Ovis aries: one gene and its partners. The protein of the gene in region 1 interacts with the protein of each later gene in a pairwise test. Links are inferred from orthologs where the notes say so. Each region holds a gene or a part of one and is shown in the gene's direction. Other genes may lie near its edges.

The links.
Region 2: the proteins of EGFR (region 1) and SH3D21 interact in a protein complementation assay, tested with the Homo sapiens proteins (2 studies listed by IntAct). The link is inferred for Ovis aries from reciprocal best matches to the Homo sapiens genes EGFR and SH3D21.
Region 3: the proteins of EGFR (region 1) and NRG1 interact in a protein complementation assay, tested with the Homo sapiens proteins (3 studies listed by BioGRID and IntAct, with this or other methods). The link is inferred for Ovis aries from reciprocal best matches to the Homo sapiens genes EGFR and NRG1.

Annotation. Positions count from the first base shown.
Region 1 is NC_056072.1:1,092,506-1,096,179, reverse strand, and holds the start of EGFR (epidermal growth factor receptor), read left to right. Parts: upstream 1-742; 5' UTR 743-904; coding exon 905-992; intron 993-1,650; exon of another isoform or gene 1,651-3,674. UniProt on the Homo sapiens protein: Receptor tyrosine kinase binding ligands of the EGF family and activating several signaling cascades to convert extracellular cues into appropriate cellular responses.
Region 2 is NC_056054.1:11,176,641-11,180,380, forward strand, and holds the start of SH3D21 (SH3 domain-containing protein 21), read left to right. Parts: upstream 1-937; 5' UTR 938-1,003; coding exon 1,004-1,007; intron 1,008-1,176; coding exon 1,177-1,334; intron 1,335-1,420; coding exon 1,421-1,484; intron 1,485-1,700; exon of another isoform or gene 1,701-1,735; coding exon 1,736-1,854; intron 1,855-2,095; coding exon 2,096-2,186; intron 2,187-2,203; exon of another isoform or gene 2,204-2,359; coding exon 2,360-2,415; exon of another isoform or gene 2,416-2,499; coding exon 2,500-2,545; exon of another isoform or gene 2,546-2,643; coding exon of another isoform or gene 2,644-2,694; coding exon 2,695-2,795; intron 2,796-2,914; coding exon 2,915-3,001; intron 3,002-3,163; coding exon 3,164-3,206; intron 3,207-3,740.
Region 3 is NC_056079.1:27,643,826-27,647,569, forward strand, and holds the start of NRG1 (pro-neuregulin-1, membrane-bound isoform), read left to right. Parts: upstream 1-1,317; 5' UTR 1,318-1,405; coding exon of another isoform or gene 1,406-1,594; 5' UTR 1,595-1,923; coding exon 1,924-2,593; intron 2,594-3,744. Other genes in the region: uncharacterized LOC128092250 homolog, read left to right, coding at 1,406-1,594. UniProt on the Homo sapiens protein: Direct ligand for ERBB3 and ERBB4 tyrosine kinase receptors. Concomitantly recruits ERBB1 and ERBB2 coreceptors, resulting in ligand-stimulated tyrosine phosphorylation and activation of the ERBB receptors.

The DNA of each region.
Region 1 (3,674 bases):
GGTGTCTCTGGGCGGATGGGCATCTAGCTAGTATTTATATTAAGCCTTTATTCTAAGCGCTTTGACTTTCTGAAGCGATTTACTTCATGGAACCCTGGCATACTCCTTCGGTGTCCACGCATTCATTCAACAAACATTTTTCCAAGGCTAGTCTCTGCCAGGAGTTGGGTGTCCTTGTTTCGTTTGAATTCGAGGGTGCTTGACGCGACCTGAAGGACCCTCGGGCTGGAGAGCGCATCTCAGAGGCCAGGCACCCACCCCAGCCACGAGGGCGCGGCTAACGAACGTCTTAGCTGCTAGGCCACTTTCGATCCCCACTGAGATCCCAGGGTGCTCAGAGGAGTTGGGTGCCGGAACAAAGCGGTGGTTTCCCCCCAGGCACCCTTATCTGGCCTTGGGCCTAGGGCTCAGCCAGTTTGCCTGGAGTTAGTACAAGTTTGCTCCGCAACTTGGAGGGAGAAAGAGGGGGAAAAGGCAACTTCGGCACAAAAGTGGCTCGAAGAAGGCTGGATCAGGGAGACCGCAGGCGCGTCCGCGGGGGACGCCCGGCTCGGCTCCTCACGGCCCCTCCTGGACACCGGGCTCCTGGGGCAGCCGCTGTCCGCCGCCCCTAGTCCTGCCGGCCGGCGCTCCTCGGGCGGGTTCCTCCTCGGCCAGGCGCGCCGTCCGCCCCTCCTCCCGGGCCCTCCTCCTGCAGCCCGGCCTCCCCGCGCCCCCGCCCCCGCCTCCGCCCCAGCGAGCCAGAAGTCCCGGTGGCTGGCGCAGCGCGCAGCCTCCGCCCCGGCTCGGTGCGCACGCCCGCGGCCCCACGCGAGCCCTGTCCGTCCCGCGCCGCCGTGTCCCGCGCCGCCGAGACCAGCGCACGGCGGCCGCTGCGTCCCGACCGAGTGCGGAGCCCGGCGCGATGCGACTCTCGCGGGCGGGCCGCGCGGCGCTCCTGGTGCTGCTGGCCGCGCACTTCCCGGCGAGTCTAGCGCTGGAGGAGAAGAAAGGTAAGGACGCCCGCGCCGCCGTCCTTCCCGTCCCGGGCGGCCGCGCTTTCCGCCGGGCTGCGGAGGAATGCGCGTCTCGGTTCCGGGCGGCGGGGCAGCCTCCGGCGCGGGGCGCGGGGCGCGGCGGGCCGCGGCGCCCGCAGCGCGGCTCTCCCCTCTGCTCTCCTGCCCTCCGCGGGCTGGACGCCCAGGCGAGCGCGTCCCAGCACGTGCGCCCACAGTCTGCCCGGCCCGGGGGCCGAGGGGGGACACGGAGTCCACCTCGCTCCCTCGGACCTCCAGGACCGGAGCGGCCCTCCGCGCCCGTCCCCGCACCCGCGCCCAGCCTCCGGTCAGGCTCCCGAGCCGGGGAGCCATCCTCCCAGAGCTGCCTTAACCTGGAGGCCCGGAAGCTCGTTCCGGGCACCGGCCACCTGTGCTGCGAGTCAGCGAGGGCCGAGGTACCCGCTGGCCCCAGGGGGCGGCTCGCACGGCGCCTCCACACCCGGGTGCGGCCCGAGCTGCCCCCGCCGTCCGCGCCCCTCCGGCGGTGGACTCTCCTGAGTGGTGGTTTCCCGGGACTCCCGAGACTCGCCCCCACCTGCAGCCCGTGGGCCGCGTGTCCCGGCTTCGAGGTGGATGGGACGGAGGGTGGGACAGGCCGTGGCCAAACAGCCGGGGCTTGGTGCGAACGCCCCAGAGGGGGGAACCCATCCTGGCTGGTTCTCCATGGTTTCAAAACAGGGCTCACAGCAAGCTTTCCTCCTCAAAATCCAGAAATTTTTGTGTCTGGGATGTGTTTTCTAGTTTTGAAGAATTTGACATTAAGCCAACCAAAATATTAAACTTAATTTAAATAAAAAAAATTGATGTCCGTGATTCACGTGTGCCAAATATCCAGACCCAACATGAGCGAGTCTGGCTTCGTGACTGCCGACCATAAACCCACTTGAAATGAGAAACATGCCTCAGAAGGTTTAATTGCCCAATTTCAAGATCGAGCAGCTTGGGTTCCGAGAGTCAGGTCTGTACTTGCTGTTGAGGTCATTGGCACAGGGTATGGTGCTGAGCGAGTTTGATGCGGGAGCGCTAAGGCATAAAGCAGTGGTTCCCAAACTTTGTTTCAAATTAGAATCACTTGGGATTTGAAACAGAACAAACGAAAAACGATGTCTGGCTCCCACCCCCAGACTTTGTCATTTCACTGGTCTGGGTTGAGACCTGATTGTATGAATTTTTAAAAGCTCTTCAGGTGATTCTGCTAGGCAGTCAAGTTTGGAAATCTCTGGCAACAGAGGTGAAATCTCTGGCAAGATTGCTGCCAATGTAAAAAGCTCTTTGGGAACATCTGGAGTTTTAACAATCTTGCAAAGGAAAGAGAATGATGATTTTATTTAAAAAAGAAATTAGTTTTTTCAATGAAAGTCTCTCCTCCTCTGAGTCCCAGGCTGTGGTCCAGCTCCTGAATCTGTTGACAACAGGATTCCCGCCTGAAAGCAGGTGGCAAGGGGACCCCATCCTTATTTTAAACCCTTGGAGTGCCTCCGAAGCATCACTTTTCTCATTTCAGAAATGTTCCCAGCTCTTTGCTGTTACCCTTCTGAACACTACTATTAATGCTTAAAGATTCTTTTCTAAGAAATATATAAATACCACTTAAATTGCCTGTTAGTCCCATGTTTGTTCAAAACAGAATGCTTCTGAATACGATAGTGAGAGTAGGTGAACAAATGTTAAAGTAACGTCAGAAGACCAAAATGTACGGGGCAAATTATTAACAGCAAGTGTTAAAGACCTGTGTTGATCAAATTTGGTAAGTTTTATTCTAGAACATTTACTCATTTTAGAGAGGCTTCTTTGGTTCTAAGATACAGTGTCCTTTGTTCTCACTGCACTTGGTCCTGTCGGACACCGTTTTAAATGTCCTTTTAATCTTTACATCAACCATACAAGTTGGCTCTTGTCATTCTATGTGGGGAAACCGAGGTACAAAGAAGTAAAGTGACTTTCCCGCAGCTTGCAAAAGGCAGATGTTTGTTTGTTTACCTGAATTTTTAAACTCTGGCCCTCTGACCCTGGAGCCCTTCCCTGGGTGCTGCCTGTGTTGATTTGTTGTTCTGGTTTTAGAGGAGCTCTGTCGGTGTGTGTGATGTAGGATGCTGGCAGAGGGAGGAAGAACACTGGGGATGAGGAAGCCTCCTGCCCATGGTCTGGACTCCTTCTCCCCGTGCTCAGGAGGCTCCTTTTGTGGAAGAACTCTGTCACAAAGTGAGCGATGAATGTGGAGATTGCTGGAGGAATGTGGAGCAAGCTCCTTGCTTTTGAAAAACAGAAAGGGGAAGGTGCTGCTCCAGAAGTGATCGTTCATGGTATTCTCAGCTAGGCCATCCGGCCCGGCCCCTCCTCAGATGATATCCTTGGCTCAGTAGATCTGGGCTGTATAAAAGAGAACAAATTTGGGGATTTTGAATCGTATCCAGGGTGAAGCCTCCCTTTCTTTAAGGAGACCAGAGGATGCCCACTCAGTACTGGCCTGAAGGCCAGGAGCCTGTGTCCTCATTCCCATGCTGTGTGAAGGTGAATCTGTCCCTTGCCAGCTCCAGGTTCTGAGACCTTGTTTCTCAATTCAATGAATGTTTATTGAGTGCATCGCATGTGCCAGACATTATGAGTTAAAAGGGGCCGTGGTTATCCTAACGGTTT
Region 2 (3,740 bases), on another chromosome or scaffold:
GATGAAATGTCTGCGGGGCTGGGCCCAGACTCTTGCAGCCCCATCCCCTCCAGCTGCACACAAGATTGTTCTGGGAGGAGCCTCAGCCAATCTGTGTTGGGTAATAACTCCTCATTCCCATTCCAGTGATTTTGCTTCATATCCTGTTCCTTAGACACCCTAGGAGAACCAGATTTTTCCACTCTGGTGTCATTGTAAGCAAGGACTTTGGCTTCCAAAGCAGTGGGGCAGGGGTCAAGGGGTGTGGATGACATGCTTGGCCTTCTGTGTGTTCACCACTAAGCAGGAAGATGATCTGAAAGTTAGCCTGGCCCACCTGGGACTGGCACTAACCTTTGCCAGCTCTGGCGTTGGCTGTAGGAAACCACGAGCCTTGAAAGCTCCCGAAGTTGCCTTCCTGTCTTCCCCTGAGAAGAATCCGTGGTGTTTCCTGAAACAAGCTAGGCCCCATTGGCCTGAAGAAAGGGTTTTTAAGCTCCTCCTCTCCCCTTGAAGGGACTACGGGGAGAATACACCTTCCAGGGAAAGCAGCAATAACTTTGTGCACACTGAGCCACCACCCACTCCACCCATCCAGGACCGTCTAAGAGCGGTTGCTGCCTGCTGGGGGCCCCACCCTGGTATGCTGTCGACTCCCATGCAGCTAAGAACCAGGAGAGGGTAAGCCAGGGACGGCTCTGTGCCAGTGGCGTGTCGGAGACTCAGCCAAGGCTAGGATAAGGAGGGGAGGTAGTTGGGCAGATAGCTTGTCGGGGAGCTGTGACCCCAGCACTGGCCAGAGGTCCTGGAGTCCTTACCCATAGTTTGGGGGCCGAACCTGCCGATCCGGGCCGCCCCCTCCCACACCCACTCCCTGCACCGGAGCCCAACCTATGGGCTTGCGTCTCCGCCTCCTTGGCTTCACAATCTCGCGGCTAGTCCCAACCTACCTGGACCCAGTACTCGGCTGCTAACGCTACCACACCATCCTCCCTGCTCGGCTCCGAAAGAAGCCCCGGAAGCCATGGGTATGTGCAGAGGGTTTGGGGTGGCTCTTCTGCCTGGAAATAGCATTAAAAGCCTACACCACTACTACGCTCTCTCGCTGTCCACACTGGGTCCGGGACTCGCGCCAGGGCCAGTCAGCCCCGACTGGGCTCTTCTGAACCGCGTGCCCGCGCCATCCTCCGCCCGCAGAGGTGCTGGTCCTAGCCGGTTATCGCGCGGAGAAGGAGGAAGAGCTGAACCTGGCGCCTGGTGACGTGATCCGGCAGGTGTGCAAGGGGCCCGCACGGGGCTGGATGCGTGGAGAGCTGGGAGGCCGCTGTGGCCTCTTCCCGGAGTCCCTGGTGCAGGTGAGGTAGAGCCGGAGGTCAGGCGGGGTTTCTCTGCGCGCTCCCCAGGGAGCTGAGAGCCCCTCTCTCGGTGCGCTCTTTCACAGGAGATCCCGGAGACTCTCCGCCGCTCGGGGGAGGCGCCGAGACCGCGCTGTGCGCGCCGCCAAGGTGAGCGCGGGTGCACGTGGATACGCGCGCGCGGAGCCCCAGCGCCCAGGTTGTCCCCAACTCGCCTTGAAGGGCGCGGCTCTGGGCGGGGCTGCGCGGCCACGGCGCGACCCGTGATTGGTTCTCAAGTACAATGCTCCGCCCTGGGGTGGGGCCTAGACTCAGGAAGGGTGCCAGCGCGTCCCGCTCCTCCCCCAGCTCCGCGGATTGGAGCGTGAGACTCAAGCTGCTTCACTCTCGACCGACACCAGGTTGCTCAGTCAAATTTCTGGGCCCCCGAAAATGGTGCAAGGCAAACTTCAACTACACTCCGGAGCAGGCGGACGAGCTGCAGTTGCAAGCTGGGGAGATTGTGGAAGTGATAAAGGAGGTGAGGGGATGAGGTGATGGATGAGAGGGGTTTGAGGGGAGACGATGGAATCTCTGAGTGAGGAGACGGGTGCCGTGAGGTTGTGGGTGATGGAATTGATGAGGGGCACAGAAATGGGAAAGTGAGGAGGCAAGGGAGGAGAGGGGTCATCTGGGAAGAATCGGGGTGAATCAGGGTTTAAGATTGCTAGGGAGGCCCTTGGGGCAGGACTAGATGCCCCTGCGTCCTCCCCACTTCCCAGATTGAGGACGGCTGGTGGCTGGGGAAGAAGAACGGGCAGCTGGGAGCCTTCCCATCCAACTTTGTGGAGTTGCTGGACAGTGGGCCCCCAAGTGAGACCTGGACCCTGTGACCCCGTGAACCCCTGTGACCAGACTACAATCTTCAGTGACCTGCCCCAGTGGCCTGAACCTGTGATCTGCACATCTTGCCCTATGACCCCTTTGACCTTTCCCATGACCTCAACTGCATTAGCACCCTCCCTAACCTCGCTATCCCCCACCAGGCCTTGGCAATCCAGACATCCCTTCAGTCATCCTTGGTCCCCAGCGGCCTCCCAAGGTAAAGTGGGTGGAGTGGGCAAAGTTGGTCAGTTTCTCTTAGGGGGTTGGAGGCTCAGCTTGGTCCTTCCCCTGCCCCCACTAGCTGAGCAGCCTGACCTATGACAGCCCTCCAGACTACCTGCAGACAGGTGAGCACCCCGCCAAAGGGTCCCTCAAAATCCTCTTCCCCAAGCCCCTGTGACTTGGGGGAGGGGGTGCCCAGGTAGGCTGATGGAGGAGGGAGCCTATGACTTGTGCAGGGAGGGGATTTGGCATCAGTGAACTGAACTCCCCTCAGTCTCCTACCCCGAGACCTACAGGGTCCTGTTTGACTACCATCCTGAGGCCCCAGACGAGTTGGCTCTTCGGAGGGGTGATGAGGTGAAAGTACTGAGGAAGGTGGGCAAGACACAGGGCGAGGGAGGGCACGGGGATGGGGGATGTTGAGAAGCGTGGGCTTAGGGAAGGAAGGAGCTTGGGGGTCTGGCTCATCTCCCCACGACCTCTTGCTCTCCCAGGTCACAGAGGATAAGGGCTGGTGGGAAGGAGAGTCTCAAGGCAGAAGAGGACTTTTCCCGGATAACTTTGTGCTCCCACCTCCCCCAGTGAGTACGGAGCCAGGGACTCTGGTGGCAAGGGGCAGGCCACTCTGGACAAAGCTGAGGGTGGTGGCACTCGCTGGACACAGCTGAGGGCCACCCACAAGCGAGAGTGGACCTAGAAGTGTGAGGGCTCCTCTTGTGCTTCTGACACTTTTTTCTGCTTAGATCAAGAAGCTGGTCCCACGGAAAGTGGTATCTCAGGAATCAGGTGGGTGCCGGGGAAGCCTGGGACTGGGGAGTGATTTCTGGGAGGCCCACCAGTCCAGGTGCTCACAGACACCCGTAGCTTCCCAGTGGTCCAGTGCACACCCTTAGGAGGTACCTCCCCATGGGTTAAAGGCCTGGTAGGAATGTCTGGTGGGTCTGTGTTAGGACTGTGTCACTTCGTGTGTGTTACTATGTTCCTGTTCCTCTGTCCTGAGCTATCATTCTCATCAATGACTGTGTTTACATTTGTTTCATTTTGTGAGGAAATGTATGGATCAGTATATCTGGGCCTTTGAGACTTTGTGTTCACGTATCTATCAAGTGAGTCAGAGAATAGCTCTGTTTATGTGTCAGTGTATCTGTGGGATGTGTCTTTATGTTTTAATGTCATGCACACAATCCAAAAATATACGTACGTATGTGTTTTATTTTTTTATTTTTATTTTTTTTTAATTTTAGTTTTTTATTTTTTAAATTTTAAAATCTTTAATTCTTACATGCATTCCCAAACATGAACCCCCCTCCCACCTCCCTC
Region 3 (3,744 bases), on another chromosome or scaffold:
TGTTCTCTGTATTAAGGACAGTGCATTTCTTCCAGCCTTTTAACCACTGCTGTTTTAAAAGGAAAAAGAGTCGGCAGTGAAACTATCTTTAAGGTAAAGCTCCTGAAACTTAACCCTAAAGGCGTGCTCTTATATAGAAAAGTCTTCTTAATCCTTGCAGTGCAGTTATAGCTGAGGACATGTGGTATACATTACAGCGCTCAGGGAATTCAACCTCCGCAGTGTGGAGTCACAGTGAAGGCTATTTTCAAGATGAAGCGGGAGCCTTCTCTATAGCTGTTACTGGTGTTTCTTGTTGGCTGGACATCAGTCCGGGACTGCTGTGAGTGGGACAGAAGGATGAAAATTTAAAGGGGACCCGTGTGGGCACATAAAGACCTCTCTCCCCTCCCTGAGCACCCCCTTCTCCAATGTATATTCCACACTTCACACTTGGGCATCACCAAGTCTTACCCAGTCATTGCAACAGGGCTGAAGGCAGAGCTGTCCATGGTTAGGAGGAAAAAAAAGAAAAACAATGTTCTTGCTGTTGGTTGAAACACCAGGCAATAACAGTCCTCTCGGTGAACAAAACTTATTAGAGGGCTGGGGATGGAATGCTATCTCTCTGCAGCAGGCAGGAAGAAATTGCTGTTGAAAAGCTTACCTCTCTAGGGAGGAATCAGATATCAGACTTTGCCAAGCCTCAGGTCCAACCCATAAGGTCCCACCTACATCCACCCCCCGCCTCATCCTAGCTTTGTTAGATTGCTAGCATTGATCGCTGGCTTTTTCTGACCCAACAGTGGATGCAGAAGAGAGAACCAGGGAGACTTTAGAGCATGGGAGGTGGGGGTGGAAGATTAGGGCAGCTGTGGTAGGGAGGAAAAAAGAGAGAAAGAGAGAGAGAGAAAGGAGGCTAGCCGGGTGGGGGCCATGGGGACTCAGCTTAACTGCTGTCTGCCTGCTTCTCTTTGATTTGATGGCCTTTATTCCTTCTAATTGGATAAAATAGGAAGTCACTGGCAGTCCCGCCTTGCTGGGTATCCTGATTCTACTCAGACCAGCCAGCAGCCCCAGAGTGCGGATAGAGGGGTGGGGGTTGGGAGAGGAGGGAGGTAAAAAAGAAAGAAAGAGGGGAGAGAGAGAGTCTCTGGATGAAGAGGGGGAAGGCAAGGGGAAGAGACTGTGGAGAAGGCAGGAGCCGCAGAGGAAGAAAGTGAATGAGCCTCGGGAAGGACAAAGAGGAGTGGCTGCGCGGGTGGGGGAGAAGGCAGGGCGGCGAGCGCGGCGACCGCCCCTCCCGGCCGCGCTCTCGCCTCCAGCGCGCTCTGCGAAGAGACGCTTCGCCGTGATGCTCGGAGGGCAGGCACCTGCTGCTCTGTGATGATTCAGCCCCTTTCAGCCGCCGCGCTCACACCACAGGATGCTGTTGCTACTGTCGCTGCTGCCGCTCCTGCCGCCGCCGCTGCTGCCGCCGCCGCCGCCGCCGCTGGTCCTGCTCCTGCTTTTACTTCTTCTGCATGACAGTTGCTTTCTCCATCTGAGCAGACCCCAGCTGCAGCTGCTCGAGGTGAGAAACATGCCTTTCAGTTTGGGCTACTGGTTTACTTAACCGACCGCCGCCGCATCAGCTCCTGGGTTTCTCCGCTGGCCTCCGGTCTTCCTGACCCAGCCAGGATGGTTTGGAGAAGCATATAAAAGAACTGCAAAAGTGGCCCAGAAACAGCAGTCAAGAATTACAATATACTTTTATTTGGTTGTTGTTGTTGATTTTTTTTTGGCCTCCCCTGCCTTCCTCCTGAACTCCTCTTGCTTTTGATAATGGCCTTGGACTTGGACGACTTATCGATTTCTCCCTGTAAGATGCTGTATCATTTGGTTGGGGGGGGTTCTGCATGGTAATGGACAGTGTGAGAGGCCAGGCCTCCTGGAGGTGAGCCGATGGAGATTTATTCCCCAGACATGTCCGAGGGAGCTGCTGAGAGGTCCTCGAGCCCTTCCACTCAGCTGAGTGCAGACCCATCTCTGGACGGACTTCCGGCAGCCGAAGACATGCCGGAGACCCAGACTGAAGATGGGAGGTCCCCGGGGCTCGTGGGCCTGACTCTTCCCTGCTGCGTCTGCCTGGAAACCGAGCGCCTGAGAGGTTGCCTCAACTCAGAGAAAATCTGCATCGTCCCCATCCTGGCTTGCCTGGTCAGCCTCTGCCTCTGCATCGCGGGCCTCAAGTGGGTGTTTGTGGACAAGATTTTTGAGTATGACTCTCCCACTCACCTTGACCCTGGGGGATTAGGCCAGGATCCTATTATTTCTCTGGATCCAACTGCAGCTTCAGCTGCTGTGTGGGTATCAGCCAAGGCGTACACTTCACCTGTCTCCAGGGCTCAGTCTGAAACTGAGGTTCGAGTTACAGTGCAAGTTGACAATGCCCTTGGGTCCTCCGAGCCTTCGGCGGTCCCCACCCCCAAGAACCGTATCTTCGCTTTTTCTTTCCGGCCGTCCACTGCTCCATCCCTCCCTTCACCCACTCGGAGCCCTGACGTGAGAACACCCAAGGCAGCCACTCAGCCACCATCAACAGAAACTAATCTCCAAACTGCTCCTAAACTTTGTAAGTAGAGAGAGACGGGTGAGGATGTGTAGAGGAGATGGGTGGGCTTGAGGTCGTCCGAAGTGTTCTCTAGAGGGTAGAGCTGAGGTCCTTGTCTTCTCGGAGTTGAATGGCACGGTTTGGTTTAAGCGCATCACGTGACTGGGTTGCTCCGGCAGAGATGAGTGAAAAGACCTTACAAACTGCTGGTTAGAACTGATGCTATCACAGCAACTCTCTCTTCCTGGATGGTGAAATCTGGGGTGAGGACCCAGAGCTTCAGCATCTCTGAGCCATGCTTGACTTTCAGTTCCATTCCATAGGTTTCTAACACTTTTTAGGATGAAAACATCAGACCATTTTATATATATATGACTTCTGTACAGCAGTGAGTAGGATCCTGATGTGTTTTTTTTTTCCCCATGTAAACTTTCCATTACCTCTCCTCACCTTTCTGCTATCCTTTGCCTTCCAGCCAGCCCAAGTTGCGAGTTATCTTTCTCCATCTCTTCTTCCTGTTCCCTAAACCACTTCTCCCCACGTTTGTACTTTAATTGCTTCTTCCCAATATCACATGAAGTCTTAGATGTTTACAGCACTCACCTCTTACCAGCAGGTTGCTGTCATGCTCAGATTATAGTTTGAGTTGCTGAGCACTTGTTAGGGGCAGTTTTATTCAGGATCTGGTACAATTCCACATGAAAAGATTTTCCCCAAACTAGGTTGTTGTTTTTTTTTTTAATTTTATTCAAGTATAGTTGATTTTACAATGTTGTCTTAATTTCTTCTGTACAGCAAAGTGACTCTGGTATACACACACACACACACACACACACATACACACACACACACACACACACACATATATTCTTTCCTATTATACTTTGTCCAAAGTGGTTTTGCCTTCTGGAATCAAATATTTAAATAGCTTCCTTGACAGTCATTAGAAAGTACAAGACGCATTAGTAAATCTTTTTTTTTCAGATGTGTCTTTTTTGTCCGTAAGACTGCAGCAGTCCTGTTTAATAATCTGTGAGTGAAGAGAGCCCGTGCTCTTAAAACAATACAGAGGAGTCCTATTGCTGTCTGTACTGGTCATTGCCATGCTTTATAATGGAAAAGTTGACAAGGATGAAACCATGACTAGTCAGATTGTTTTAAATGTCATTATA